7 linked regions of the Mus musculus genome follow. The protein of the gene in region 1 interacts with the protein of each later gene in a biochemical or structural test. Links are inferred from orthologs where the notes say so. Each region holds a gene or a part of one and is shown in the gene's direction. Other genes may lie near its edges.

The links.
Region 2: the proteins of Slc9a3r1 (region 1) and Abcc2 form a complex in vitro, tested with the Homo sapiens proteins (2 studies listed by BioGRID). The link is inferred for Mus musculus from reciprocal best matches to the Homo sapiens genes NHERF1 and ABCC2.
Region 3: the proteins of Slc9a3r1 (region 1) and Abcc4 form a complex in vitro, tested with the Homo sapiens proteins (3 studies listed by BioGRID and IntAct, with this or other methods). The link is inferred for Mus musculus from reciprocal best matches to the Homo sapiens genes NHERF1 and ABCC4.
Region 4: the proteins of Slc9a3r1 (region 1) and Cftr form a complex in vitro, tested with the Homo sapiens proteins (9 studies listed by BioGRID and IntAct, with this or other methods). The link is inferred for Mus musculus from reciprocal best matches to the Homo sapiens genes NHERF1 and CFTR.
Region 5: the proteins of Slc9a3r1 (region 1) and Tbc1d10a form a complex in vitro, tested with the Homo sapiens proteins (2 studies listed by BioGRID and IntAct). The link is inferred for Mus musculus from reciprocal best matches to the Homo sapiens genes NHERF1 and TBC1D10A.
Region 6: the proteins of Slc9a3r1 (region 1) and Pdgfrb form a complex in vitro, tested with the Homo sapiens proteins (2 studies listed by BioGRID and IntAct, with this or other methods). The link is inferred for Mus musculus from reciprocal best matches to the Homo sapiens genes NHERF1 and PDGFRB.
Region 7: the proteins of Slc9a3r1 (region 1) and Nf2 form a complex in vitro, tested with the Homo sapiens proteins (2 studies listed by BioGRID). The link is inferred for Mus musculus from reciprocal best matches to the Homo sapiens genes NHERF1 and NF2.

Annotation. Positions count from the first base shown.
Region 1 is NC_000077.6:115,172,988-115,177,241, forward strand, and holds part of Slc9a3r1 (Na(+)/H(+) exchange regulatory cofactor NHE-RF1), read left to right. Parts: intron 1-3,363; coding exon 3,364-3,525; intron 3,526-4,236; coding exon 4,237-4,254. UniProt on the Homo sapiens protein: Scaffold protein that connects plasma membrane proteins with members of the ezrin/moesin/radixin family and thereby helps to link them to the actin cytoskeleton and to regulate their surface expression. Necessary for recycling of internalized ADRB2.
Region 2 is NC_000085.6:43,823,543-43,827,796, forward strand, and holds part of Abcc2 (canalicular multispecific organic anion transporter 1), read left to right. Parts: intron 1-2,292; coding exon 2,293-2,448; intron 2,449-3,041; coding exon 3,042-3,241; intron 3,242-4,254. UniProt on the Homo sapiens protein: ATP-dependent transporter of the ATP-binding cassette (ABC) family that binds and hydrolyzes ATP to enable active transport of various substrates including many drugs, toxicants and endogenous compound across cell membranes.
Region 3 is NC_000080.6:118,629,299-118,633,552, reverse strand, and holds part of Abcc4 (multidrug resistance-associated protein 4), read left to right. Parts: intron 1-1,365; coding exon 1,366-1,455; intron 1,456-2,410; coding exon 2,411-2,574; intron 2,575-3,809; coding exon 3,810-3,935; intron 3,936-4,254. UniProt on the Homo sapiens protein: ATP-dependent transporter of the ATP-binding cassette (ABC) family that actively extrudes physiological compounds and xenobiotics from cells.
Region 4 is NC_000072.6:18,267,858-18,272,111, forward strand, and holds part of Cftr (cystic fibrosis transmembrane conductance regulator), read left to right. Parts: coding exon 1-571; intron 572-2,340; coding exon 2,341-2,469; intron 2,470-4,254. UniProt on the Homo sapiens protein: Epithelial ion channel that plays an important role in the regulation of epithelial ion and water transport and fluid homeostasis. Mediates the transport of chloride ions across the cell membrane.
Region 5 is NC_000077.6:4,213,077-4,216,417, forward strand, and holds the end of Tbc1d10a (TBC1 domain family member 10A), read left to right. Parts: intron 1-480; coding exon 481-670; intron 671-760; coding exon 761-915; intron 916-1,624; coding exon 1,625-2,077; 3' UTR 2,078-2,429; downstream 2,430-3,341.
Region 6 is NC_000084.6:61,072,045-61,076,298, forward strand, and holds part of Pdgfrb (platelet-derived growth factor receptor beta isoform 2 precursor), read left to right. Parts: coding exon of another isoform or gene 1-62; exon of another isoform or gene 63-579; intron 580-585; coding exon 586-718; intron 719-1,196; coding exon 1,197-1,301; intron 1,302-1,583; coding exon 1,584-1,694; intron 1,695-4,254. UniProt on the Homo sapiens protein: Tyrosine-protein kinase that acts as a cell-surface receptor for homodimeric PDGFB and PDGFD and for heterodimers formed by PDGFA and PDGFB, and plays an essential role in the regulation of embryonic development, cell proliferation, survival, differentiation, chemotaxis and migration.
Region 7 is NC_000077.6:4,783,170-4,787,423, reverse strand, and holds part of Nf2 (merlin), read left to right. Parts: intron 1-2,860; coding exon 2,861-2,988; intron 2,989-4,254. UniProt on the Homo sapiens protein: Probable regulator of the Hippo/SWH (Sav/Wts/Hpo) signaling pathway, a signaling pathway that plays a pivotal role in tumor suppression by restricting proliferation and promoting apoptosis.

The DNA of each region.
Region 1 (4,254 bases):
CAGCAGCCACAATGAGTGACAGCTCCTGGGGACTGGAAGAGGACAGGCTAGTTTCTCTGGAAGTTGAAAACACTCTCCCTCCCCTGCTTGCGAAGGAAGAGACCCTCTAGAGTGGTGGTTCTCAACCTTCCTAATGCCGAGACCCTTTAACCCAGCTCCCCATGTTGTGGTGACCCCAGCCAGAACATGTTTCTTGCGACTTTGTAACTGTAATGCTGCCACTGTTATGAGTCATGAGTATGCTACGTAGGTGTGCTGGTTATGTCATATGACCCCTGCCAAAGGGTTGTTCAACTCCCCCAAGAGAGACCCACAGGTTAGGGACTGGTCTGGAGAATTCTGAAAGGGACCCATTAGTACTGAAAGTCTATGAGTGCTAGGTGGAGTGGGGCTTTCTGGGTAATACTACCCACCCTGCCCTGCCCCCCCCCCCCCCCCCCCCGAATCAGCCGGGAGCCTCGCAGAGGGAGTTAATAGAAAATGTCCTATCCCCTTAGGCAGGATCCTCCCAGTCTTCCTGGTCCTCCTGTTGCTAAAAGGATGCAAAGTGGACCTTTGAATTCTGACGGTAGGCGTCACTAGAAAAAGGGACACTGAGGTGACACTTGCTGAGGAGCACTGGGAAAAACCCAGAGCACACACTTGAAACCCGGAAGGTGGTCATAACAAGGCAATCTAGCCCAGCCCTGCCGACTCGGGAGTCACCTCTTCTGAGCCCTCAGCCTGGTTCTAGCCACAGTGCCAGCCTGGGCTTGCTCACAGCCCCGTCACCGGGCCAGGCTTTATCCTTCCACTCGGGCTGGGGTTTTGACTGAAAGAGGTGTGGAGCCCCCGGAAGGAAGCCTGTGGTTTGGTTTCGTGAGCTCCCAGACACCCGGTCAATGTGAAGGGAGCCTCCACTGTCTGTCTGTCACTAGGCTTCCCTCCAGATGGGCTGCCTGGCTCTGGACCCAAAGCTTAAGGACAGACAAACTGATGTGGTGGGAGTAAGGCAGGCAGCTCCCCAGTGAGACTGCTGTGGGATGTCCCGGGTAAGGGAACCCTAGGGGGAGGGTGGGGAGGAACCTGAGGCAAACTGAGATTCCACAGACTGAGGGCCACAGGAGGTGTGTGGCTGAGGCAGAAAGTTGAGCCTGTCCTGGTGGTAACAACTGGTCAGACCTGTTTCAGCTAACCTAGGCAGCCTGGGGGAGGGCCCGATGGCAGCTCCATATGGGGGATTAGCTGGAAGGAAGCGAGTCCTCACTCAGAACTCCCTGGCGCTGGGAGGGCCGCAGGAGGGGCTAGGTCCCAGCAGGGTGAGGAGGGGCCTCCTGTGGCTGCCTTCTCTTGGCTGCCCATTTGGTTGTCTTTGCTGTTTGGGGTGAGTGGTAAATAGCCACTGGGGAAAATCCCAAGTATCAACTTCTGCCTCCACAAACCCATCCAACATCCTGAAACAGGTCCACAGTGCCGCCCAAGCATCCTTCTTCCACCTTTAAATTTTACTCTGTGTGTGTCTGCGTATGTGTGTGTGTGTGTGTGTGTGTGGTGTGTGTCTGCGTGTGTGTGTGTGTGTGTGTGTGTGTGTGTGTCTGCGTGTGTGTGTGTGTGTCTGCATGTGTGTGTCTGCGTGTGTGTCTGCGTGTGTCTGTGTGTGTGTGTCTGTGTGGTGGGTGTGTGTCTGTGTGTGTGTGTAGGTTGCAGAGTGCCATGGTCAGAGGACAACCTGTGGGAGTCATCTCTCTGTCACGCGGGCTCTGGAGATGAAACTTAGGTGGTCTTGGCAGCAGCAAACACCTTAACTGGATGAACAGTCTCTCTGGCCTTCTCTCCCACCCTCCCTTGCCTTTTGTACCCCCCACCTAAGGATTTGGGCTTCTGAGCAGCCTAGTACACTACCCTCCCCACCCAGCATCTCAGGGTTACGAGACTGTTCCCCAGGAGCAGGGACAATAGCAAAGTGTTGGTATGCAGAGGGACTTAGTGAGGACAATGGCTACATCCAGGTCTGCCCGAGCGACTGGGAGCTCCCTAGTGTCCCTTTATACTGTGTCATTATGTCATTGTGCCTCAAAGGCAGCCACCTACTGAGGGTAGGCAGATAGCAATAAGCACCTTCTAAAAAGGAAGACCGGGAGGCTCAGGAAGGGAAATGATGCGCCCCAAGCCACAGGCTAGTCAGGAAGCCCCATGGGGTAGGTGGCAACCTAGGATTAGCCAGCCAGCCAGTGTCCCAACAGGCTGCCAGGACTTGGAGCTAGGGTCAGAGTAGTGCTTTGGCTCCAGCTTCTACAGGCTCGCACCCTGATTCTGGCCATCTGTCAATCAGTGTGAGCATCAAGAGTCCACCTGTCAATCAGTGTGCCTGTGAGCATCATCAAAGCTATGGCACGGAGCTGAGCCGCCGCTGAAGAGAATGAAAAACGTTAAAAGTTGTTCCCAGCTGAGTGCACAAAAGACAGCTAGCTGTTTGTGTCCTTTGGGAGGTGGGTCAAGGCACACACTACTGAGTCTCACAGCCTGACCAGGACCCCCCCCCCCCCCCCCGCATGGTGTCAAGAGAACCAACTCTTTAAGTTGTCCTCGGGCCCCCAAATGTTGTGGATTGTGGTGTATGTGTGCTCTCTTTCCCACACGAAATACTTTTAAATGAAAAGTGACAAACTCTGCTTTCCGGGCCACAGTTTTTTATGACGTTGGCCCTGCCCCCGCTTTTCATGACCTCCTCCCCATATGAGTCCTTGGGGATTAGTGAGTGGCACCCCACCCATCCTGCCTCCCCCCACCCCTGTTCTGTTGCTCCCTATGTCCTGGGCTGGATACAGAGCTCCTGAGGATGGTCCCATCCACCCCAGGTCCCTTCACCCCAACACCTACAGGGTTTCAGGTTATCAGTCTCACATTTGGCTGGGCCGTCTGGTTCACTGGGGTCAGGAAGTGGGCCCACAAGAGAAGAAAGGCTTTACTGTAAACAAGCTGTCTGCTTTCAGTAAAACAGCTATCCTTGCCTTCACAGCAGAGACCAGATACATGGGCCAGGTGCCCACTCGTGAGCCTCAAGTATCCAGCCAGGCCTAGGAGGCCCAGATGAGCCTTGGGTGGGGCAGGGTTCCACCCAAGTAAGACCAAAACATGTAATAGAATGACAGAGAGGCAAACTAGCCTCGGCAGGGACAGCCGCTTGTCCAGAGCTGCGCAGTCTGCTTCGGTGCACATCTTCTGAACCCTGGACCAGATTCTCTTGTATTGCTTTCGAGTCTCCGGTCACCATTGGATCGTTCCAAATCCTTCTAGGTGGGGAGGTAGAGTTGGGCAGGGGTAGCAGAGAAGACAGGGTTGGGATAATATGGAATGACATGGGCACTTCCTACATCCCCACAGCGCGAGCTCCGGCCCCGGCTCTGCACCATGAAGAAAGGCCCCAATGGCTATGGCTTCAACCTGCACAGCGACAAGTCTAAGCCAGGCCAGTTCATCCGAGCAGTGGACCCAGACTCACCGGCGGAGGCGTCTGGACTCCGGGCCCAGGACCGAATTGTGGAGGTGATGTCCTGTACAGTGTTCGCTAGGCTCTACCTTCCTAATCTTTGGTGTTAGGGGACAGCCTTACACCATATGTGGCTTGGTTAGCCCATGGGAAATGGCCAGCACAGAGATGCTAGGAGGAGAGGGAGGGGAAGCTGGAGTAGCAAGTGGGCGCATGGACAGGCTGGCTGGCTGGCTGGCTGCTTTTCCCATCTCGGGTTCTAGTGTACCAAGTATACACTCAATGCACAGGATTTACCAGCCAGAATCCAGACAAATGCCACGGGCTTCCCTAGCAGCCTTCCTGATACCTGGTGTGAGGCGAGGTTAAAACCCCTCTCCTGAGCTCAGCTTCGAGACACCCCGTTGTTCGGCTGTGCTCTGAGAGGAAATGTGAACTAAAGGCTTGGGCTGCTCCCAGAATCACAGTCTGAGAACCTTAGAGCCACAGATCAGCCTTCCAAGACTTCTCACTTTACACGTGAGAAAACCAAGGCCCAGAGCGGGAGGTCGGAGGCGAGCTCAGCCCAGGCTCCCAGGCCTCTCCTCGCTCACAGCTGTGTTTGTGTAGTCTCCTCTGGGTATTTTCTTTGGCTTTTCCCATTTGTCCTGCTTCCCAGCCGACTGTGCGAGAATCACTGGAGGCACGTGAGGGAAGGCAGTGTTCTCAGGTGGGGTTCCCTCTGCCCGCTCTCCCCAGCATCCTGTCTCTGCCCTGCCTCCTCGCAGGTCAATGGTGTCTGCATG
Region 2 (4,254 bases), on another chromosome or scaffold:
TAATTGTGGAATTGTGGAGAGAGAGAGAGAGAGAGAGGAGTCCTACGGATGGACACCTCAGGCTTTTCAGTAGTTTATTATCTAGTGAAGGATTTCTCCAAAGACTTACAGTATGGTTAAAAACAGCAATGGCATGTGCAGAGGCATTCTGGGTACAATGGAATGGTAGAGAAAGAGAGCAAGCTCAAACCAGATGGCAGATGGGGACAATCAGAAAAGCTGATATGAAATCATGGAGGTGAGAGAAACAGTGAGCATGGTAGTGGTGGGGGTGGGGGTGGGCAATAGAACAGGGGGAGGGGAGATGCCACAGAAAAGCATGCTCGCTGCTCAGGACGGCTAATGGAAGGGAGCGTACAGTGCCTGTTTCCTTGACTTGTCTCCATTCGCAAAACTTTTAATGCTTTGAGGACCAGTAAGTTAGGTCTGGATTTTGGGTTGGGTTATCTGTATGGAAAGGGGATCTCGAACACTGCTTCTATCTGCGCAGATCCCAGGGCTGGGGGCACTTGGGCATCCCTTTTCTACCATCAGTTGGGTTGGGTTGTTTTTTTTTTTTTCAATGAGCCTGGTACTATTAGATGTGAAGATGGCTTCCTTCATTGGTTCCTCTAAGTGCATCCAAAGTGGAAGCTTCAGGATTAGAGGCAGAAACCAGGCACTTCTGAATGACTGTGAAGTGTCGTCAGCACAGCTTTTAGTTCTCTGCTTGTGGAAGGGTAAAAGCGCTTTATAAGATGAATGAATAGGCCTGCACTGTGGGTGGATCGTAGCCTACAGTCAGGATCTGAGCACACGGCAATCGCTTAGGAAGTAGACAGGTAACTTCCCATTTCCCTCCTACCTATAAGGTAGAAATAGCAAAGCTGCCATTGGAGACCACTTAGAGGCTGCCTGCCCGTTAGTCAGTAAAGAGCACATACTCTTGGATGCAGATATTTCTCAGAAGGATTAGACAGTCTCTACAGTCTTTCTGGTGTCATTATATGTATGGTCTGTCTTCTGGGGTCTTCCTGTGAGCTAGTTAGACTACAATCAGATTTGCTGACTGGTCCTACTTGAGAAAGAAAACTCACAATCATATAGTAAATTATGTTGCAGGGGTGGTTCAGGGCGGTGAGCAAGTTTGATGTGGGGTCTTCTAGAAACAAAGATGGAGTCCTTAAAAAAAAGGAGAGAGTATACTTGGGAGGCAGAGGCAGGCAGATTTCTGAGTTCGAGGCCAGCCTGGTCTACAGAGTGAGTTCCAGTACAGCCAGGGCTACACAGAGAAACCCTGTCTCCGAAAACCAGAGAGAGAGAGAGAGAGAGAGAGAGAGAGAGAGAGAGAGAGAGAGAGAGAGAGAAAGAAAGAAGAAAAAAAGGTGGAGAATCTAAGATAGGTGAGGATCAAAGTAATCCTTGTAGAAGTGGTGGCTTAGTGAGGCTTTGGCTCATCTGCCAGCCCTCGACATGGCTAACTTATGTGCATGCTGACATAGCGTGGGACAGGTACATAGACTCAGAAGCACCCCACTACAGAACGCTCTTGTCCCTGGCTGAACTTGGGAAACTCCAGAAATCATCTGGACTTGCCTTAGTGTTCCCTCGCACGGTTGATGTATAGGATTAACAAAGTCCTCTAGGAAAGCCAGGGGAGGGCAACCCAAGATCTAAAATAGGCTTTCTAAGCGCGTTCCAAACCATCTACCCTTCCGTTAGTTTCCTCAGTTTATTTCACACAACACGAGACAACATGGCAGTTAAGCCATCTTCCGCTTCTGGGTTCCTTGGCTGGGACGCTGAGCAGTGGGAGATAGATTCAGCCCCCCTTTCCTTTCCCTCTAAAACTCCATGATATAAATGGAATATACGTAAAGGTGGGAGACAAAACTTTGTACACCAGAGTTTTAAAACAAGTGCGTATTGGATGTCTCTTGTGTGCCAGACTCTCTACTGGGTATTTAATAGGATGAGAACCCGTAAAATGAGGATTTCTCTGAAAGACTCTAGTAGTTTGCAGTGTAGGTCTAATGAAGGTGGAGAATGAGAGAGTGAGAAATCCACCAGATCTATTGGGAAAGCTGAGGATTATTACCGTAGGTCTCTGGAAGAATTTGGAAAAGTAAGGAGACCACAGAGATCTGATTAATTTTGGACGACTGGTATGATCTATTACAAATGGACGGCTTGAGATGAAATGGCAAAATCCCGAGGAACTGAGACAACCTGAGCATGCCAGCTGGAATCGGGAAGATGAGCAACATCTTACAAGCTCACTGGCTCATCGTCTCTCCTAATCTGTATCCCTAGGATATTTCTACGGTGGACGACACACTCCCCCAGACTTTGCGAAGCTGGCTGCTGTGTTTCTTCGGCATAGTTAGCACTCTCGTGATGATCTGCATGGCCACCCCCATCTTCATCATCATCATCATCCCTCTCAGCATTCTCTATGTATCTGTGCAGGTGGGCTTGGGAAAGACAGGCGGGGTCTCCCCCCTCCGCTTCCGAGAGCCCTGAGACGCGTCCCTTAGGTTTAACGTGGGCAGCTCCTCTCCAGCGTCTTCGATGTGCCCAGGAAAGCACGGGATCACTCAGAGCTCAGTTGTCAGTATGAGTCAGTGTGCGGGTCATAGCATGTGTCACCCTAAGCTGCCCCCAGAGAGCTTGGGTAGGGAACATGTTTGGATTCAAGACATTTCCTTGATGTCGTTTATTCTTTTATGTCATGTGTTGTTGTTGAAGATGAGGTTGTTAAGTGGCAAGTGGGTGTTTGTTTGTTTGTTTGTTTGTTTAACGTTCATTGGTGTTCTGTTTCCATGTATGTCTGTGTGAGGATGTCAGATCCCCTGGAAATGGAATTACAGACAGTTGTGAACTGACATGCGGGTGCTGAGAATTGAACCCAGGTCCTTTGGAAGAGCAGCCAGTGCTTTTAACCACTGAGCCATCTCTCCTATTTTGAGGGGTAGCCTTCAAAATATATAGCCTGGTGGCAGAGCGCTGAGAGGGAGAAGGAAGGGGACTGTCACTAACTGACTCTTGGTTTTTGAGTTCAGGTGTTTTATGTGGCTACATCCCGCCAGCTGAGACGGCTGGATTCTGTCACCAAATCTCCGATCTATTCTCACTTTAGTGAGACTGTCTCTGGTTTGCCTGTTATTCGGGCCTTTGAGCACCAGCAGAGATTTCTAGCAAACAGTGAGAAGCAGATTGACACCAACCAGAAATGCGTCTTTTCCTGGATTACCTCCAACCGGTGAGGCCTCCCTTAAGGATTTACCTAAATGAATGTTTCAGATTTCTGCATGTCTGACAGTCTGACATTTGGCATGGGAGAGCAGGCATAGCCAGTGGTATAAAATGCATCCTGGATGGACACGGATGGACACATACACACACACACACACACACACACACACACACACACACACATACACACACACACACGACCTATCAAGCTATGTAAATAGAAAGAAGAAAGTACGGACTTTGGAGTTACAGACTGGTTCTTCATCCCAGGCCCATATTGAGCAAGCTAGGTGAATTGCCATGCCCTCGATAAGGAGATAGCATTGTCTTTCTTTTTCAGTGTGTCTCACAGTGATGGTAAAAGTCACATGACATATGTGAGTATTTGAAAACTCAAGTACCGTTCAATTGCTGGGTAAATTGAACGTCTTGTGTTTGGTTCCCTGAGCTGGGAGATGAGACGTTTCCTAGGCACGATGCTCAAAGGTGATGAAGATGCAGAGGCCCCAGGGAGGGGAGTCAGGAAGTTTAGTAAGATGCAAATGACAAGAAGGGAGAAGGTCACCTGCGCAGACTGGGAATCAGGAGACCGTGACAAGCAGTTAGGGATGCCTTTGAAAGAGAAAGATCCAGGGAACAGAAATTCTTCAGTGGCTTGAGTTGTTAAGGGCAGGCCAGTGGTGATCATATTATTTGGAACATGGAGAGGTCAGAGGTTCCAGTTAGACTTAACTCACACGTGGCCCTTGAATCAGGTCTCATCCAAAAGGGCTAAAAATAGTTTAGATGAATTTGTATGTTAGGTTTTGAGCATTTGCCCTATGTAATTTTTATGACTTGGGACTTGGGGAAGTATTTCATTGTAGGATTCCTTTAGCTTAGGAGACTCTTCTAGAACCTTTAAAATGTTACTTATTTCCTTCAAAAATCAATGTAATGGACTATTAAAGATTCAAGTATTTCTAAACCAAAATGAGGTCGCTCCTAAGAGCACAGCGTACCAACTGAAGCCTCTAAGAG
Region 3 (4,254 bases), on another chromosome or scaffold:
TTTTCTTTTTTAAACATGAAATGCCAATTTGTGTTTCTCCTATTTGCATGAGCATGGTGTCGTCCACGGAGTGTGTCTTTTCTCCACCTTGCCTTGCTGGTCTTTACCTTGTTCTGCTGCCTAGGCTGGCCCTGAACTTTCTGCGATCCTCCTGCCTCTGCCTTCCCAGTGTCAGAATTACAGACGGGCCGTCTTATGGTTGGTAACTCATGTTGCATGGAGTTACTTGTATTTTAGTGTTGTTTATATCTGGTTCTCCTTTGCCTTTACATAGCTGCCTGGTCATTCATTACCTGTTGCCTTGGTGTCTACTGCAGTCTCTTTGTTTTCTCTTCATCTGGCAATGTGGTGCACTCCAGCTTAAAGTTAAAAACGAGCTGGAGAGTTGGCTCAATGGTTAAGAGCACTGACTGCTCTTCCAGAGGTCCTTAGTTCAAGTCCCAGCAACCACATGGTGGCTCACAACCATCTGTCATGGGATCTGACGCCCTCTTCTGGTGTATTAGAAGATGGCTACTGTGTATTCATAGAAAATAAATGAATTTTTAACAACAATAACAAAACAAAACAAAAACCCAAGACAAACCGTCTTCACTGTTCCAGGTTCTCGTTCCGACTTTAGCTACTTCTCTCTCCCCTCCAAGATCAGCTTTGGGCCTTCTCTACTTAGCCACCCCACCTTTCTCTCCTCTGTACGTCTCACAAGCTGCTCATTGATCCATGGCACCTTCCTTTGTCCCCTGAAGCTGTTCCTTGTCCCCTGTTCTCCTGCCACCATGCCGGAGAAGGAGACCTTCCCCAGTATCTGTCCACTGCTCTGCTGCCCGAGACCTCAGACTGAATTCATCACAAGTGCTTCTGCCATGTCCCAATTGTGGGTCCTCCTGTGCCTCTGGGCCCTGTCTCTGGCAGATACCCAAGACAGAAGCGCCGCTTCTCTTTCATTTGTGACTCTTGGAGACAAGCGAGGGCCGTTTCCATATACAGGAGGCAGAAGCCATGACCACGTGTACTTAAGTGATATCTGGCCAAGAATTAATAGCACATTCAGTGTTCATACAAATCCTGCATTTTTCTCTACTTCCACCGTCTCCCTACTGAGCTGGTTTACTTTGGTAGGCTGTGGAGTGTCCACTGACATACACGGGGCATGTGGCCATTCATCAATAAGAATGAGTTGATTTTCTCCTGCTTCCTTCACCTCCGTTGCTGTCCTTGAAGATATTGCTGTTGGTGCCAGACATTAGGGCTGTCGTCATGGCTTTTACACCACAGAAGACCCCATGAACATGCGTTTCTCTTTTTCCCGTGCTTGCGAGAGTGTTAGGACAGGATCTGATTCTCCACTCTGCTCATTTATTCCAGGCACTCCGGTTAAGTAACTCGGCCATGGGGAAGACAACCACAGGCCAGATAGTTAACCTGCTGTCCAACGACGTGAACAAATTCGACCAAGTACGTTCCATCTCTGTCAGTTCCTGCCCCAATTTTCCCCCTTTTTAATCTGTTGGAATGTGAGGGTTTTGGTGTAGACTAGGATTTTTTCTGAAGTTGTGACATAGGCACTTTAAAGCCACATCTCAGTTCTGTGTGCAGCATAGGTGTGGTAAGATGTGTTGACCCCATAGAGCCCAGTTTTGCTTTTCTGATGTTGCCTGCAGCACACATCTACAGTGAGTTGGCGGAGAGCAATATTCCTCCCGACTTGGTTAGTGCAGTGATAGTCTCGAGGGGCTACCTCCTCATAGTAATTTTTAGCACATGACAGAGGAGCAGCCAGCTGTCTGTCTGTCTTTCTCTTTTTCTAAAGGACCCAAGTATTGGAGGGCAGGAGTGTGCAGTACAGCCCCCCTCCATGTGGTACCTGGTTCATAGGAACAGTTTGATAGGGCATGTCGCATGGTGCTACCTAGCTAGAATTTACGGCTCTCGCCCACACCCGTTTTTATGGTCGGTCACCTTACAGATTGATCACTCTAGCTTTAGGTCAGATCTGCCCAGCAACCATTCCCCTTTCAGATTTTCATTCATCAGACATACACCTCACCTGCAGAGTGTGGTAGGCGCCATAGCATAGGCTTTTCTGGGGAGACCCAGGGGAGATGCAGTTCACTTGTAGAGCAGAGGGTGGGTTCGCTTCCACACACGAGGAATTAAAGATCGGGACCGTCTCTGGGATGGTGCAGTCTATCCATCTTATAACAGGGACCACGGTCTACTGTTCATCGCACAAGTGTAGCATCTGCAGTGAGACCTACGGTTCTGCCTCAGCAGTGTTAAGCCCGCTCGCTGAGCCCCGGTTCTCTTTGCATTCTTGTCTTCCCGTTTGGAGCATAATGTTGCTGGCATGCGTTCCCACCTGTCTTGTTTTATTTACAGTCCTAAGCATGTGTGGGCTTTGTATCTGCAGGTGACAATCTTCTTGCACTTTCTGTGGGCAGGGCCGCTGCAGGCCATCGCGGTAACCGTCCTCCTCTGGGTGGAGATAGGAATCTCCTGCCTGGCGGGCTTGGCCGTTCTGGTTATTCTTCTGCCTCTGCAAAGCTGCATCGGGAAGCTGTTCTCGTCACTGCGGTAAGAGGGACGCTGGGCTGAAGAGATGTCCTGTTTGGTAACACCAGTCCCCTCTCCGCCCCTGCCTGAGACTGCTACCCAGAAACAAAATAGAAACTTCTTATATTTTCTGCATATGCTGCCGGCCCTTCAGGCTTAGCTGGGGGTACTCCAGCCATAAGCGGAGGGCTGGTCTTGGAAGGGGAAGGGGGAAGGTATTGGCTGGCTGCTCTCTGCTGGCTTTTCAGTGTAACCACTTAGAAAGCATCCTTGCTGTAAGTTACGCATGTAGATGTTGTTAAAATCAAGTGGTAGTAAACACAATTATTTTATTTTGTATATTTTATTCCGCCCATCATCCATCCACCCATCCGTCCGTCCGTCCGTTGTGTGTCTATGGGGACGGTGCACATGTGCCACAGTGCATATATGAAGGTCAGAGGACAATTGGCATCTCAGGGTCCGAATCCCAACGTTCTATAGATTCATCCACACTGCGTGTTATGGAGCTGCTCCCGTATGCATATGTATGCTGTTTTCACTCCAGTATTTCCATTGAATTACAAACTCTCAGGGCGCAGGGCCAACCTTAACAGAACCTCGTGGAAGTCTCACCATCCTAGCAGGGTGTGTGTCAGAAACATGGCTGCTAACACAAGCCTGAATTGATCATGAAGTGACCATGGCCCGAAGCAGGTTCCAGGAGTCGAAGCCAGTCTCCGTAGAGGCCTCTGGATGAGGGTGGAGATGCCACACCGTTTGAAGGCATCAGGCTCTTTCCTTCTGAGCCTGTGCTCTGTGTGGTCTCCTCTGTGTTGAATGTCCTCTGCCAGTTCTAAAGCTCCTGACATGCTGTGGCTGTCTGCTGACTCTTTTCCCGGCAGGATGAGCAAGCCTTTCTGCTCCACAGCCTTTCTGATCCTGTCTCTTTCCACCTCTGCCAACTGTGTCCTGTCAGACGTAGGTGATTTCAGTACCTTGTGCCCCCCTCAATATACCAGAATCATTTTTGGGTTTTCTTCAGCAGTCATTCACAATGTTCCATAATACGCAGAGTTGGCAGAGGTGGCTGACTGTTCATTCGGCCTTCTATGTGTGTGCTGCATGTAGGACCCACCCATGCTGCATGTAGGACCCACCCATGCTGTGGGAGCAGAGGACCGCCTTTGACTCTGGGTCCCTGTCTGTGCCTGTGATTGATACACAAAAGTTGGCTGCCTTCCATGTGGCTTATCTGTCACATCTGTCCCCCTCAGGAGTAAAACTGCGGCTTTCACGGATGCCAGGATCCGGACCATGAATGAAGTCATAACAGGCATGAGGATAATAAAGATGTATGCGTGGGAGAAATCGTTTGCTGACCTCATTGCCAATCTGAGAAAGTAAGTCTTGGGGTAGACTGGACTGTCTTGTGCACTTTTCTATTTCCTAATTTTACCGAATGAATTTAGAGTTCTCTTTGATCTCCCTGGTAACTCACCTCAGATATGATGTGGTCACCTGCTGTGGCAGAGTGTTAAGTATAATGACCTGGGACATCCCTTTTAACCTGGGCTTCTGTGTGCCATTATTCCCAGGCAAAAGCTGCATTTCTCCTCTTCTTGTTCGTACCTGTCTGTCTCTGTCTGTCTCGATCTCATTCTGGTTTTGATGGTGCTGGGGACTGAACCAAGAGATTCACTTGTTCTGGACAAGTATCAC
Region 4 (4,254 bases), on another chromosome or scaffold:
TCTACGTCCAGACTTCAGTTCGAAACTCATGGGGTATGATACTTTTGACCAGTTTACTGAGGAAAGAAGAAGTTCAATTCTAACTGAGACCTTACGCAGGTTCTCAGTAGACGATTCCTCTGCCCCGTGGAGCAAACCCAAACAGTCGTTTAGACAGACTGGAGAGGTGGGAGAAAAAAGGAAGAACTCTATTCTAAATTCATTCAGCTCTGTAAGGAAAATTTCCATTGTGCAAAAGACTCCATTATGTATCGATGGAGAGTCTGATGATCTCCAAGAAAAGAGACTGTCCCTAGTTCCGGATTCTGAACAGGGGGAGGCTGCTCTGCCGCGCAGCAACATGATCGCCACCGGCCCCACATTTCCAGGCAGAAGAAGACAGTCTGTTTTGGATCTGATGACGTTCACACCCAACTCAGGCTCCAGCAATCTTCAGAGGACCAGAACTTCTATTCGAAAAATCTCCTTAGTCCCTCAGATAAGCTTAAATGAAGTGGATGTATATTCAAGGAGATTATCGCAAGATAGCACACTGAACATCACTGAAGAAATTAACGAAGAAGATTTAAAGGTATATACCCGTCAAGTCTTAAGATACATCTCATCCTAACCCCATAATTGGAGTAAATTTTGTCACATACTATGTATTTCATGGCATCCCATTGTGGTCTATGGGCTAAGGATACAAAGTCCATTACCTGTGTAAGCAACTTGAAACATAAAACTATTTCTGGTTATCATTGAAATATCATCCCCACCCCACAAATGTGTGGTAAGCCAAAACAGGGCCTCAGTGTTGAGTTTTTCTACTAGACTCATGAAATGATATTCACTTTTATAACTTAATAATTGTCTCCTTTAGTGTTTTTCTAGGAAAAGGCGGAATAGAGTATTATATAAACAAATACTTGCATTTATGTAGACACCAAAAAGTGTTTTTAAGGCATGGCCTTGATAAGGATTACACACACCTGGCTTCTTGACAAGATAAATTCACATTCCTGCCTGCATTTAGTTAGCATATATTTTCTAACCTTTCAGATTTGTGTTGTGTTTTTTAAAGGGTTTCTCTAAGGAAGATATGTGCAGCTCGGCATATATTAGTGACAGTAGTCAGATTAAAGTTCTTAACTCTATGTGTTAAGGAGCAAAACGACCTCTCTTAAAATAGAAAGCAGTGGAAAACAAGAGGGCGATTGTTTACCAGTGGATGTACCTTAGATGAAGTTAAAGCAGAGTCCTAGTGGATGATATATTTAATGGTGACTGTCTTTAATATAAAGTTAACTTTTGGGCAGTTGCAATTCATTTAGTATCTCTGGGCCTGAGTTCACTCTGTTGTGAAATAAAGGAATAAGTAATTCTCAAAAATATATGCTCGATATTTCTATAATCTAAAACTGATTTGCTAAAAGATAATTCATCTATATGATTTAATATCCATCTAAATAAAATTACCAAATTGAAGTATATACATTTTGGTTTGTGTGCATTTTAAAGAATGCTTTCTTTACCTGATTTTGTTACTAAGTTATCAATTATTTCACCTTCCAGGCAACACACTTTTTGTCTCCTTCACTGTGACATCATTGTCCCTATTAACAAAGAAATAAAATAAAGTTCTGAGAAATTCAGTATCTTCATACATTCAAACATCCTACGATGTTACCATTTGGTCTTGATTTTAAATAAAGGGCAGTTTAGTTCAACAATCTAATTTTTAATCAGTAAACCTTATTCCAGGTTAATAGGCTTCCTTCTTTGTGAGTCTAATGGCACTTAATGAACTTCATGGATTTTATGAGGGCATCGTTTCCCTTTAGAATATATAGACTCTCTTTTTCTCACATTTTTATAATGTAGCTTCCAAAAGACAAAGGCTTTTAGAGGCTGTATTTGGAATTGGATTTTGTAACTTAAGTTGTAGCTAGAAAAGCAACCATGTAATGCCTAAGGACTATACAAATATAAGCCAGCTTCTAAAATAGAAGACTCAAGTAGCTAGCAAATTCTACATTGCCCTTGTCTCTGGCTCACTGAATCAAGCTCAATCATGAAGAGTTTGGGAGCTTCACTCATTTGACAAAAGGTGTGGGCTGTAAAGCATTTACATGCTAAGGTTTGGGAAGTCTCACTGTGTTTGGTACTTTATAAACTATATTGCTTGAGCAGACATCCTATTCTCTGTGGCCATCATCACCCGTGGCATTTTTAGTGGCTTTTATTTTTTAAAGATCCTTGGCTGTAAATGGTACTGTTCCCTTATTTCCCTGAATTCATAATAAAAGCTCAGTGGCAGCATGGAGTAGGATTGTCTCAGAATCACACTTCTTTTCTCAGGAGTGTTTTCTTGATGATGTGATCAAGATACCCCCGGTGACAACATGGAACACATACCTACGATATTTTACTCTCCATAAAGGCTTACTGCTAGTGCTGATTTGGTGCGTACTGGTTTTTCTGGTTGAGGTAAGTATGTTTGTTTGGAAATTGTCACTGTGAGTTTAAATTTAGGATAAAAAAGCTGTATGTATTCATATGAGCATGTACACATGTGTATGTGCATGTGTACAACGGTAGTTTCCTGTAAAGTTCATCGCTTCTGAAAACCAAGAGGAGCTGACGAGGCAGCTATGTGGTTAAGGGCACTGGTTGCTTTCCCAGACAACCTAGCCAAATTCCCAGACCCCACATGGTGGTTTACAGCATCTGTAACTGAAGTCTCAGGAACCTGGTACTCTTTTCTGGCCTCTGTGTGTACAACATGTGTGTAGTACACAGATGTGTGCAGGCAAAACATTCATACACAGAAAAATAAGTTAAAACTTTTTAAAATCCACAGTTAGAATTACTATTGATATTTTAGTACTTCAGACATAAGGAAATATGCATAAATACAAATGCTATATATGATGAATTGTCATAAAATAAAATTTATTGGGAATATTTTTTATAATCAGCATATTTTGATTCATAAGTATTGTAAAGAGATTACTATAACAAAATCAATAACATAACTATGTCATCTCAAGTAACATTTTTTGTTGTTTTTGTGACAAGGGGTCCTAAAATCCACACATCTAACAAGTAAAATAATAGTTTGTTATTTATAATCCTCACATCATTTATTACACCTCCATACATTTAGTTTTTAACAGATTCAGAAGCCCAACCTACAAAGAGTGAATATGAGTTGAAGTTAAGTACTGAAAAGAATTCTAGATGTCCATCTAGATGATCTAATGAGGCAGGCAGTGACTCATGTGGTAATGATCCTTACTTGCCTGCTGTACCTTTGTCTCAGGCAGTGTTCATCGAGGGAAGCTTTCACAATGATGTAATTACTTCATTGTGTGCTGACCTGCTGCACAAGAATGCAGTATTAGTCACTCTATTATTTTTCCTGTTGCCATGATAAAGCACCTAAAAGTTAAGGAAAGGAGATATATATGTGCTTTCTGTTTGAGGGAACATATTCCACAGAGGCTGGGAAGGCATGATAGCAGAAGTAGCAGGTTGGTAGGTCATATTGCAAGCACACTTTGGAAGCAAATAGTGAAAAAGTGGGGCCAGGCTGTAAACCTGAAGGCCTGCTCAAGAACCGAAGGATTCCATAGCCTTCCTAAACAGCACAGTAGCTTGAGACCAAGTATTCAAACACAGGAGTCTTTAGCACATTTTACATCCAAATCATCAACAGTCACCTGAGGGGAAAAAAAAGACATTTTGGGAAAGGAAGTCAGGGGACAGGGGCAGGGTTCATAGTGGACAAAATTCAATGATGCACTTGTCAGAAAACAATCTAATGGTGTGCTTTTCTTTCTTTTCGTCTTCCTTCCTTCCTTCCTTCCTTCCCTCCTTCCTTCCTTCCTTCCTTCCTTCCTTCTTTTCATTTTTGTCAGTATCTTATAGGCATTGTCCAGTTAAATAGCTCTCAAATGCTAGATTAAAAGAAAGCAATGATATGCACAATTTTACAACTAAACAACATATTTGCTAATGTTTATGTTGTTTTCCTTCAATCAAAATTTACATAGACTTTGTTTAAGTCTAAACTTTTTTTCTTTGTGTCAGTGCCAATGTGTAGATTTCTTTTGGCTACTGGAATGTTTCTTGGTACATTCCATCATGGAACAGGTGCCAATCCACAGTGGCAGTTTAGTTTTTAAAGCACTGTTTAAGTCCTAAGTGACAAGAAATTCCCAAATGCATATCCTCCTCCATTAAAGTGATTTAGATAATTTTAAGTCTTAA
Region 5 (3,341 bases), about 110 Mb from region 1:
TGAATGCCTTCTGTGGCTGCTCCAAGGCCCTCCCCCTTCACTCATAGCCACCCCAGGCTAAAGCCCCAAGGCCTGATAGAAGCCACTCTTGTACCAGTTACACGCTCACCTCCATCTGTGCCTCGGCTCCCGGCCATGCCTCATTGACCTTGGCCGAAGAGCTTGTTGCAGCTCCACTCTGTCCCGCCAGGATGCCTTTCCCTCAGCCTTCACCCCATGCGCGGAGCTTTCCTTGACCTTGACAAGCAGGAGTTCCCATTCCTGTAGTGTTTGGGACACTCAGCCCCATTGTCCCTCCCCCATTCTGTGTCCACGGACTATTTCAGTCTCCCTGAGGGGACCGTCTTGTGTCTGGTCTGTCCGTCTGTCTGCCAGTGCTCTATAGGCTCTGGCTACCTGATGAATTACTCCATGTTGGCCCAGTACTAAGAGCTCACAGGGGGCTGTGGTCATGGCTCTGTGGCCTTGATGTCTCTTCAGGAGGCAATCCAGCTGGACGGCGAGATCCTCTTCTCACTGCTACAGAAGGTGTCCCCTGTGGCTCACAAGCACCTCAGCCGCCAGAAGATTGATCCCCTGCTGTACATGACAGAGTGGTTCATGTGTGCTTTTGCCCGCACGCTGCCCTGGAGCTCTGTGCTGCGAGTTTGGGACATGTTCTTTTGTGAAGGTACCAGACTATGGTGGATAGTGGGGGGTGCAAAAGAAGCCCCAAGCCTCCTTGAACTCATCACCTGCCTCCCCGCCCCGCCCCATACAGGAGTCAAGATCATCTTCCGCGTGGGGCTGGTACTACTGAAGCATGCACTGGGCTCCCCAGAGAAGCTCAAAGCCTGCCAGGGCCAGTATGAAACCATCGAGCAGCTGCGGAGCCTCAGCCCCAAGATCATGCAGGAAGCCTTCCTGGTTCAGGAGGTGCGGACCTGCGTCTCCCACCTGCTATGGGAGGGAGGGGAAGCTGGCAGTTGACTTTGTATGGCCCTGCCCCAAGGGTTGACTGGTAGGCCAGGTCAGGCGAGGTGGACAGGGACAAGAGGCACTGTGAAGTGTCCCCACTAGCTAGGCCACTCCACTCTGGGAACAGAGCAGAGCTGTGATCTACAGCCCCCTCAGTTTTCTTTTTGGATACTTGTTTTTCAGAGGCTACAAATGAAGAGATACATACATGGCCAGCTTCTATGGGGGATCATGGCCAGGCTGATGACAGTGCATGTAGCAGGGGCAGACATACAAGGTCATCTGTGCCCACTTCCAGCACTGACCCCATTTTACACTTGAGGAAGTAGGGCTCAGAGAGGCAAAATTTCAAAGTGACTTTCCTTTGGCACCAGCTGAAAAGTGATAGGGCTGGAACTGGAGCCAGGCTGCCCTAGTCAGTAGGTGACATACTGGCTAAGAGTGGGGTTGCCCATGTCAGCTCTGCCCTGCCTCCTGTCCTAGATGTAAGGAGAGAGGGGTGTGTGGGCTATAGGTAGTGTCTCTTCTGAGACCGTGGCTCTCATGTTTGGCACTCAGACCACAATGATATCTTCCCTTTAGCAGACAGGTAAGGGAAGCTGGTGGGCAGGAAAGCAGAGGGGAAGGTCATCCTTCCGGTGCTCACCTGCTCCTCATTGCCCCAAAGGTGATAGAGCTGCCTGTGACGGAGCGCCAGATTGAGCGGGAGCACCTCATCCAGCTGCGGCGCTGGCAAGAGACGCGTGGTGAGCTGGAGTGCCGCTCTCTGCCCAGGATGCATGGTGCCAAAGCCATCCTGGATGCAGAGCCTGGTCCCAGGCCTGCCCTGCAACCTTCACCTTCCATCCGCCTACCGCCAGATGCAGCCCTCCTCAGCTCCAAGGCTAAGCCGCACAAGCAGGCCCAGAAGGAGCAGAAGCGGACAAAGACCAGTGCGCAACTGGACAAGTCCCCAGGCCTCAGTCAAGCCACAGTGGTGACTGCTGCAGGAGATGCATGTCCTCCTCAGGGTGTGTCCCCAAAGGACCCGGTCCCCCAGGACCCTACTCCTCAGAACTTAGCCTGCCACCATTCCCAGGAGAGCCTGACCTCCCAGGAGAGTGAGGACACCTACTTGTAACCCCGGGAGCTCAGGCCTCCGCGGGGGTCTTCTCACGTCTTACACGGTTCAAAGACTGACAACACTCCAGGTCCTCTGCGCCTGAGGAGCCAACTGCTTGGCCCGTGGGCTGGGATAGGATCTGGCTGGTCCAGTACAGAGTCTGCCTGGGCCTCCTTATTTATTTTCTCTTGAGTTGAGCTGGTCCAGCCAGCACAGGCAGAAGCTGTGGCCAAAGGGGTTGGGTCTCAGCCCCATCCTTCTGGGGAGATGTTACCCAGGGGTAGGGTGCTGGCATGCGGGGAGGCGGTGGGGTACTCTTTGTGTAAAATAGATATATGGTTTTGTACGGAAATAAACAGGCTTGTGTATAGAGCTGTGTATAGTTAGGACCCAAAGGGCTATCGCCCTTCATCCCGGGAGCCCCCCTGAAACATACAGGAGCACGGAGTCCAGAGCCAATTACTGTTCTTGGCTCTTCTCTCTCGACCCATCTTTCTTCCATGTTCACCTCTACACAGAAGAGTCAGTCCAGGCTAAAGCCCACCACTGGGCAGAACAGGAAATAGTCCCCAAGGCCTTGCTCTGTGCTTCTTTATTGGGGATTGGGGGTAAGATCCTGAAGAGGTAGCTAAAGGCTCCAAGGCCAGACCTAGATGCTGACCATAGCAGGGAGTAGGGAGAAACAGACTTGGAGGAGCTTCCAGGCGTTGCCTGGGCCTAGGCTGCATTGTCCTGGTACAGCTGGGAATACTGAGTCTGGAGAGGCGAATGGTTACCTGAGGTTCAGGGCAGCTTCACATTCTCTGCCTCCTGCTTCTCAGCCCTGTGGCTCTCCACTCTGTCCACACTTGCCGTGGTGAGATGAGGAGCTCACTTAAGACCCCAGTTAACTTGTGAGCACTCACACAGTATCAGGGGCTGCCGCCAGGGCAAGGTACTGCAGGCGCCTGACACAAGCCTCCACCAAAGAAAGACAGGTGAGGGGAGAAGTGGGCCTCCTTGATAAAGCGCTACTTTCTGTTGGCTGACACGGTCCACATGCCAGGCTGGGCTTGTGTCTGACATAAGAGGAGTTCAATGTCCTCCTCCTCCAAGTGCCACATTTGCACCCAAGCCCCTCACCCAAGTGAGCAGAGGGCGGTGGAGGGTCAGGCAGGTGCTCAGCTACAACCTGATAGTTGGCGGTGAGGAGAACAGGGTGTCCCTGGGAGAGGCCCCCCTTCTGCTGAGGAAGCAGCTTTTCTAGTCAAACAATAGTGGTTGTTCCTGGCCTGAGACCAAG
Region 6 (4,254 bases), on another chromosome or scaffold:
ACTCCCATGAGTCACAAGAATGCAATCTGACCCCAAGAATCTGTTTCAACACTCTATTCTGACATTTCCCCCCTCTGTAGCTCCAAACACTTAAGATTCCTGAATTGGGACTTTAGTCCCCCTTCATCTTGTCATTATAAGATTCCAATCCTATGACTCCAAGATCCTAAGATGTCCACATCCAAAGGCTGTATGTATCCTTTTGAGATCCCACAGAGACAGAGTTGACATTTGGAATCTGTCCTACCTTATGCTATGTTCAGGGTAACCTACTCGTCCCGTCTGAGGAGTAACTGGAGTTCAGAGAGAAGCTGGTGAAGCAGCTGTCAGTTCCTCTCTAGAGGCTGCGTCCTCAGGGTTTCTCAGTCACACTTTCCACCCCTGGGGCCCCTGAGTGCCAACTGCCTCTGAGCTCATTGAGACCTTGGTTTTGCTAGCCATTCATTGCATCACTTTCAAACATCCCTGTCCTCGCTGGATGCCCGAGTCTCTTGTCTCATCTGCCATCTAAAGGTCTGGACCTGATAGGCTCAAGGCCAAAGATGCCCTCTGACAGTCTCATCTGTTATTGGTCTTGTCCTGCAGAAGCCACGCTATGAGATCCGATGGAAGGTCATTGAGTCTGTGAGCTCTGACGGTCATGAGTACATCTACGTGGACCCTGTGCAGTTGCCTTACGACTCCACCTGGGAGCTGCCACGGGACCAGCTTGTTCTGGGTCAGTCCTAAGAGGTGTTAAGCAGCAGTGGGCACACTCAGATTTGCTCCCATCATGGTTGCTACTAGCTAAGGCATAGAGCTGATATCTTGCATCCTCTGGATCTCACTATCCTTTCTATATGGTGAAGATAAGGTGACCCCATAGCACCAAAACTCAGGGATCCCAAGACTGATATGGGACCCCTTCAGGTCAAAGAGGAAGTCCTTTGGATGTAGGCCAGGGAGTCTGAGGCAGGTGCAAAGGAGTTGTGCGTGTCCCTAAGAGACAGGAGGTCTTTCAGGGACTACAGGGGAGGCAGATAGCATGCAGGATCTAGAGGAGACCCAGAGGATGGGAAACTTCCCAAGGGGAGCACAGTAGGGCGGTTGGAGGGATGTGGAGGGTGATCTAAGGGAATATTCCCCAACCTAAATGGGAAATGGGATGAAGCTTGAAGCTTTAGCTTCCAGGAGCTGAGGGTCTCTATGCATCCTAGGACGCACTCTTGGCTCTGGGGCTTTCGGACAGGTGGTGGAGGCCACAGCTCACGGTCTGAGCCATTCGCAGGCCACCATGAAAGTGGCTGTCAAGATGCTGAAATGTGAGTCCACCCGCCCCTTCTTCACACCCGAGGCCTCACTCGGTCCCTCCCTTCCCTGGGCTTTTTGTTTCTTCTGAAGGAGCCTGGCCCTGAGGTTGTGGGACCGAAGGGTGCTTCTTCCTCCTTCTCTCCCCGCCTCCCACCTTCTTCCCTCTCTAATACAGTCCACCCTAGGACACTGGTGGTGTGACAGGATGGGGCAGAGGAAGCAGAGTAGGCCCTGGCAGGGCCTCTATACCACCTCAGTGGCCCACCCAGGCTGAGTCCCTCTCCCCCCTCCAGCGACAGCCAGAAGTAGCGAGAAGCAAGCCTTAATGTCCGAGCTGAAGATTATGAGTCATCTTGGACCCCACCTGAACGTGGTCAACCTGCTGGGGGCCTGCACCAAAGGAGGTACCGAACCCACAACCTGGAGGATTCTGGGGCTCCTCTCTTTCCTGTTCTCCCTCAGTCCACCAGCAACACAGGACACTCCAGCAGAATGTCCACACACCTGCCGCTCAGCGTTCTTATTGCACTGTCCTAGATGGACTTAGTTTCAGGATCTCAGAATCACAACTCCTTCATGATGAAGAGATTCTTCAGGCCGCTAGTTCCTGCAGCTTTAGAATTCAAGTCTTTTATGACTCTTCCTTCCTTCCTTCCTTCCTTCCTTCCTTCCTTCCTTCCTTCCTTCCTTCCTTCCTTCCTCCCTCCCTTCCTTCCTTCCTTCTTTTTTCTCTCTTTCTTTCTCTCTTTCTCTCTCTCTTTCTCTCTTTCTCATTCTTCCTTCTCTCCTTTTTTCCTTCCTTCCTGTCTCCTTCCTGTCTCCTTTCTTTCTTTCTTTCTTTCTTTCTTTCTTTCTTTCTTTCTTTCTTTCTTTCTTATTCTCTCTCTTCCTTCCTCTCTCTCTCTTCCTTCCTTTCTTTCTTCCTTCCTTCCTTCCTTTCTTTCTTTCTTTCTTTCTTTCTTTCTTTCTTTCTTTCTTTCTTTCTTTCTTATTCTCTCTCTTCCTTCCTCTCTTCCTTCCTTCCTTCCTTGCCTGCCTGCCTGTCTGCCTGCCTGCCTGCCTTCATGATGAAGTCTTGCCTGTATGTCAGTGTTCCTGTGTGTGTGTGTGTGTGTGTGTGTGTGTGTGTGTGTGTGTGCGTGCATATGTATGTGTGTCTGGTACTTGAGAAGGCCAGAAGAGGTCATCAGATCCTCTGAAACTGGAGTGACAGATGGTTGTGAGCCAGTGGGTAGGTGCTCGGTATTGAACCAAGGTTGTCTGCATGAACAAGTGCTCCTAACAGCTGACCATCCCTCCCACCTCCTTTTTCATATTTCCACAATACATTTTGAAAACCGTGAGAAAGTAACAGAGCCCATCCATGTACTAACCAGGAACTGGCTTTGTTTACATCAGTGTTGGAAGTCATTCTGCCAACTGCGATGATCTGAGGGCCTGGTTACCCACTGGGCTGTCAACATCGTAATAATCATGAAGTTATTGCCCTTTGCAGCTGCTTGTTGTGAGATCTGGGATTTTCCTCGGTGTTGTGTAATCAGCCTAAATACAGAAGTACATTGCGCATGGACTGTTGTCTGTGCTTGCAATGACCGTATTTCTTTTTTTTTTCTTTTTTTAAAAAAAGAATTCTTGTATCTTTATTCATGAGGGTTCTACTTCTCTTATAGGCCTTTTATATTTCTATCAAGGCAAAACATACTTCATTATAAATAAAGGAGGCAGCTCCCTCCACTTTCTCAAGTAATTGTTTAAAACTAATATTGGAGGAGCTAGAGAAAGCTCCCAAGGAGCCAAAGGGGTCTGCAACCCTGTAGGTGGAACAACAACATGAACCAACCAGTACCCCCGGAGCTCGTGTCTCTAGCTACATATGTATCAGAAGATGGCCCAGTCGGCCATCATTGGGAAGAGAGGCCCCTTGGTCCTGCAAACCCTATATGCCTCAGTACAGGGGAACACCAGGGCCAAGAAGTGGGAGTGGGTGGGCAGGGGAGTGGGGGCGGGGGAGGAGAGTCTGGGGGACTCCTGGGATAGCATTTGAATGCAAATGAAGAAAACACCCAATCAAAAGTATAAATTAATCAAAAACAACCCCTAATATTATATTCATACTTAAATGTTTGACAGAATTCACCAGTAAAGATATTAGACTTAGAATTTTCTTGGGATTTTATTTGGGGAACAGTAGAGAGACCGAATCTATGTACGAATTGTCCTGGAACTTGCTATATTCACCAAAATGGCCACAAACTCACTGAGACATGTCTGCTGAAAGCTGGAATTAGTATTGTGCAAGCCCCAGCTTGGAAGATTTTTTTTTAATTTTTTAAAATTAGGTTATTTTCTTCATCTACACCTCCAACGCTATCCCAAAAGTCCCCCACACCCTCCCCCACACTCCCCCACCCACCCACTCCCACCCCCTGGCCCCGGCGTTCCCCTGTACTGAGGCACATAAAGTTCACAAGACCAATGGGCCTCTCTTTCCAATGATGGCCGACTAAGCCATCCTCTGATACATATGCAGCTAGAGACACGAGCTCTGGGGGGTACTGGCTAGTTCACATTGTTGTTCCACCTATAGGGTTGCAGACCCCTTCAGCTCACTGGGTACTCTCTCTAGCTCCTCCATTAGGGGCCCTGTGTTCCATCCAATAGCTGACTGTGAGCATCCACTTCTGTGTTTGCTGGGCCCTGGCATAGCCTCACAAGAGGCAGCTATATCAGGGGCAATGACCGTATTTCAAAAGTGTTATTTTCATCTGTTAGATGGCTCTCAGTGCATTGAACTTAAGTGTAATCAGCAAATTGCACTAACAGTCACGTTCACCTGCTCTATGTAGAGCAGAATCCGAAATGTGTACCAGTCTGAAAACAGCAGCAGCAACCGATATCATAGGCTTGCTACATGCTGAGCCCTCAAAGGCATCTCAGGGGTCTTCATGTCAACCCCAAGGGTGG
Region 7 (4,254 bases), about 110 Mb from region 1:
GCAGCTTTTGGCTGCTTTGGTCTGGCAACTTTCTGGGAAAAGCCTCCAAATCCTTTAGTTTACCTCACAGTGCCTTTGGAGTGAAAAGCAAATTCAGGGCCCAGATAGGATCCTCCATTTAGCTTTAGGATGACTACTCAGTTACCTCTCTTGTTACTTAGATAACCCTTTCCAGCTCTAGAGTGTTTACGACTATGCTATAGTCACTACCCTCAGGGGAATTTGCTGTCTAGCTCCCTGCTGTCAGCTAAACATAATCTTCAATTGTCGGTATATATTATATGCTACAGTGTAGCTCTTTGAAGGGACTGCCTGTACAACTCAGAGTGAATTACTGCTATGCCAGAACCAGCTGTCAACCTCGGTTTTGGGACAGGGGGCTGACTTGTACTAAGTGGGATCATAAGTAGACATTGTTCCCCTTCCTTCCCATGCTGCAAACTTGTTCTCTAGCCATATAATATCACCAATTGGAAATCCTGACAGATATGCCCAGATCACAGCCCAGCCTTGGAGGCAGGAAAGGCTTGGCATGACTGACTTCTGCAGAAGAGCAGCGTTCCCTGCCGGGCAGGGAAGAGAGGCTAGAACACTCTGGGCAAAGACAGAGTGTATTCACAGCACAGACACATAACCCATTCACACATAGGCTGCACACACCCTGAGTAGTTGTGTACATGACGAGCACACTGTACACTTGTACACTTGGAACACTCACATGTGGCACAGGTGCATTCAGGACACAGAGGCATAAGAGCCCAGGGTTTGAATTGGGGGAATGTGAGTGGTTTGCTATTGCCATGTGTCCTTGTTATTTATTCCTGGGCAACAGATAACCCCAAACACCATTATTTGTCTCTTGGGCATAGTGTATTAAAGGCACATGTCTTCTCTCAAGATCAGATGGTCACAGTCAGGTGACAGCTGGGACTGTGGCAGTCTGAGCACTCACCTGGACTATATACCTGAATTACCTGTGTCTAAAACAAACAGCCATTAGAGCAGACTTTCAAAGTGCTCTTCTTTTTGCACTTTCCCTTAGCACTGTCTCTCCAGAGGAGCACACTCTAGTTCCTTAATCATATCATGTCAATGGGTGGGTTGTGACTCAGCCAGCCAGGCCCTATAGGTGAGGACTTAGTGTATTTCCTATAGCAGTTTTGAACACAACTGCACTGAACAACAAATTTTTGCACACAGACGTGACAGTTTTCCTAGACCTGTAAGGTCAGATACTCAGTTGTGCCACCTGCCAAAGAGGGTGTGTCAGTTTCTGCTCTCACTAAAAGGGTAACGGCTAGTGTTCTTCCTTTCTGAGAATTTTTCTGCGCTTTTTGGTTTTTTTTTTTGTTTTTTTTTTTTGGTTTTTGAAACAAGGTTTCTCTGTGTAGCCCTGGCTGTCCTGGAACTCACTCTGTAGACCAGGCTAGCCTCGAACTCAGAAATCCGCCTGCCTCTGCCTCCCAAGTGCTGGGATTAAAGGTGTGTGCCACCACTGCCCAGCTCTGAGAATATTTCTGAAGTATAAGGTAAATAGACCTGCCTAGATTATAACTGTCCAGCTTGATGAAGTGTCAACAGAGCAGACTCTCTCATTTACCCAGAATTCAGCCCTGAAAACAGTGTATGTAGGACCTAGATATCCTGCTCAGGGGCACACTTGACAGACTCCATACATCCTACCTTAGACCTCACTGCCATAAATAAAGGCTGAGAGGTTCTGTTCCTTTCCAAACATTGTCCCAGACTCAGTAAAAGATCCTAGGAGGAAAAAAGACATACCCATGAGGAATCTCTGCAGTGTGGAGCTGAGGAAAGGGCGGGGCAGCAGTATGCACATCATGACAGAGAACTGCAAAGGGAATGAGCAGCTGTTTTGTCAGGGTAGAAGGTGAGAGGGCTCGAAGGGCTTTGCTGAGAGACTGGAAGAATTGAGAACTTTGAAAGGGGAATGGAGACCTTGCTGGGCTGCTATGACCCATACCTGCAGTGCTAGCACTCAGAAAGCTACCACAGAAGGCTCACCAGTTTGAGACCAGCTCTGGCCATGTGGCACATCCCTAATGTCACAGAAAATGACAGGGAAGGAGGAAGAGAGAGAAGGAGTGGCAGGGAGGGAAAGAAAGGACACATGCTAAGTGTGGGATAATACGTAGTACTGTTTATGATTTAGCAGGACAAATAATGAGGGACACTAGAGAGGTAGGTAGGGACTGTAGGTTAGGTGACCTTCTGTTCTGGAGTGAAAAGATCCTGAAAACAAGTCAGCTGGTTTCCCCTTTCAAGCACTCTTCTGGCTCTGTCTTTGGAATCTAAGCCCCTTCCATACGAGCAAAGCCTTTGTGACCCGAAGCCAGTCTCTTACCAGTCACCCCACAGGGTACTTGAGATGCCCAGTGCTTTGGATGGATCCTGTCTGCCCTGCCTACCAGCATGCCTCTTGCCTGGCACCTTTCTCCTTTGGCTCATTCACTGATCCCCAAGGAAGCTGTACCCTGGCAGATCCCTCTAACCTCATACGCCCTGTCCCTCCTCTGGCTCATGTTCATCTTACTTAACTATGAGGATTTGCAAATACATCTGCTTCCTGAACAAGACTTTGATCTGCTTAGAGCCAGGAAGCCTGTCTTCCTTCCTGTGTCTCAACTCCTAGCCCAGTGCCTAAATGAGCTTCCTAAATGAGAAGCTGAGTGAAAGTTTGCGTTTGATTCAAGGAACCGTAGAAATGATGAGGTTTGAGGAGAGAAGGGTGACTTGTCTGATTGTGGTTGCTTTGGGACCACTTACCTGGCAGTATTGACTGTAGAGGTCTCTGTCCTGTGTAATTTAAGCATCTTAACAGGAGCTTTCTCACTGACAGCCCATGAACCCAATTCCACCACCACTGCCTCCTGACATACCGAGCTTCGACATTATTGCTGACAGCTTGTCATTTGACTTCAAGGATACGGACATGAAGCGACTTTCCATGGAGATAGAGAAAGAAAAGTATGTACCCTCTGTGGCCTGCTGGGTCAGTCGTGAGCATGAGTGAGTGGATCTGGCCTAGAGTCACAGGTCACAACAGCAGCCAGTCATTACCCCTGCAAAGGTTTGCTTTGTTGTCACCCACTGGAGAACAAAGTTTCTAATTATTAAAAATTAAAGACAACAGATCAAGACAACAGTCAGGGTCCCAGGATAAAACTAACACTTGATTAAGATGGTATCCTGAAATTTATGTTTTATACCTTGTCTGAAAAATAGGACTGGCTTGTATTGAGTCCCAAGTTAAGACTGTTGTTCGCATAGTAAAATACAGTTTTCTTTAGCAGTGGTTCTAGAATGAAGGTAAAAGAAAAAAAAATTCCTAGGCTGAGCAAAGCCGGAGGAGGCCAGGGGAGACGAGTAACCCTATGCTGGTGACCCCGAGCCCAGCCAGATCACAGGCACTTCCGTCACATGCTCTCCCTTCCCTTTGTGGGCAGCAGAAGTGGAGCAGAGATGGACAGGAGGAGTCCCGTTGTGGACGAAATCTTAAGTAAGATCATTCTCATTTCTTGAGCCAGGAGTGAAGAATAGTGCTACAGCTGGCAGAGATCACAGTGATGCCATGGATTGACACCTGTGTCTCCATGTAGCTTTTTGGTGTTTGTCTCATTCACACGAATTAACAAACATCCCACTGGAATCAAAAGCAGGTTTTAGGGACTGGGAATATAGCTTAGTTCATAGAGTGCTTGTCTAACATCCACCTCTAACATAGTGTAAGTCAGGCATGGTTGTATACACCGGTAATCTTAGTACTCAAGAAATACAGGTAGGAGGATCAGAATTTCAAGATTATCTTCAGCTACGTAGCAGATTCACATCTGGCCGGGACTGCTATGAGGCCCAGACTCCAAAAAACATTTTAGTGTTGCAGTTATATAAAGGAAAATAGACTTAGTTTGATGAGTTCATCCAGCACCACATAGCTGATGAGAAGCAGGACCAGGATTGAAACCCCTTACTCTGGAGACCAGCCTGAACCACTGAGCCAGGCTAACCTCCTTTGACCCCTCATACTGACAACAGCTAAGAAGCTGACGATCCTGAGCTATTGCTCCGACTGTCCGTCTGAGCTCCTCATTGGCCAGATGTGCATGTTTATGTGGTTGTGATCAGCATAAGACCACATCCTGTTCTGGGTCTTGGTTTTTTATAGTTTGTATTTTCTTACTGTTTCAGTGTGTTTGGCTATTATAACAAAATACCAGGGGCTGGAAAGCTTAT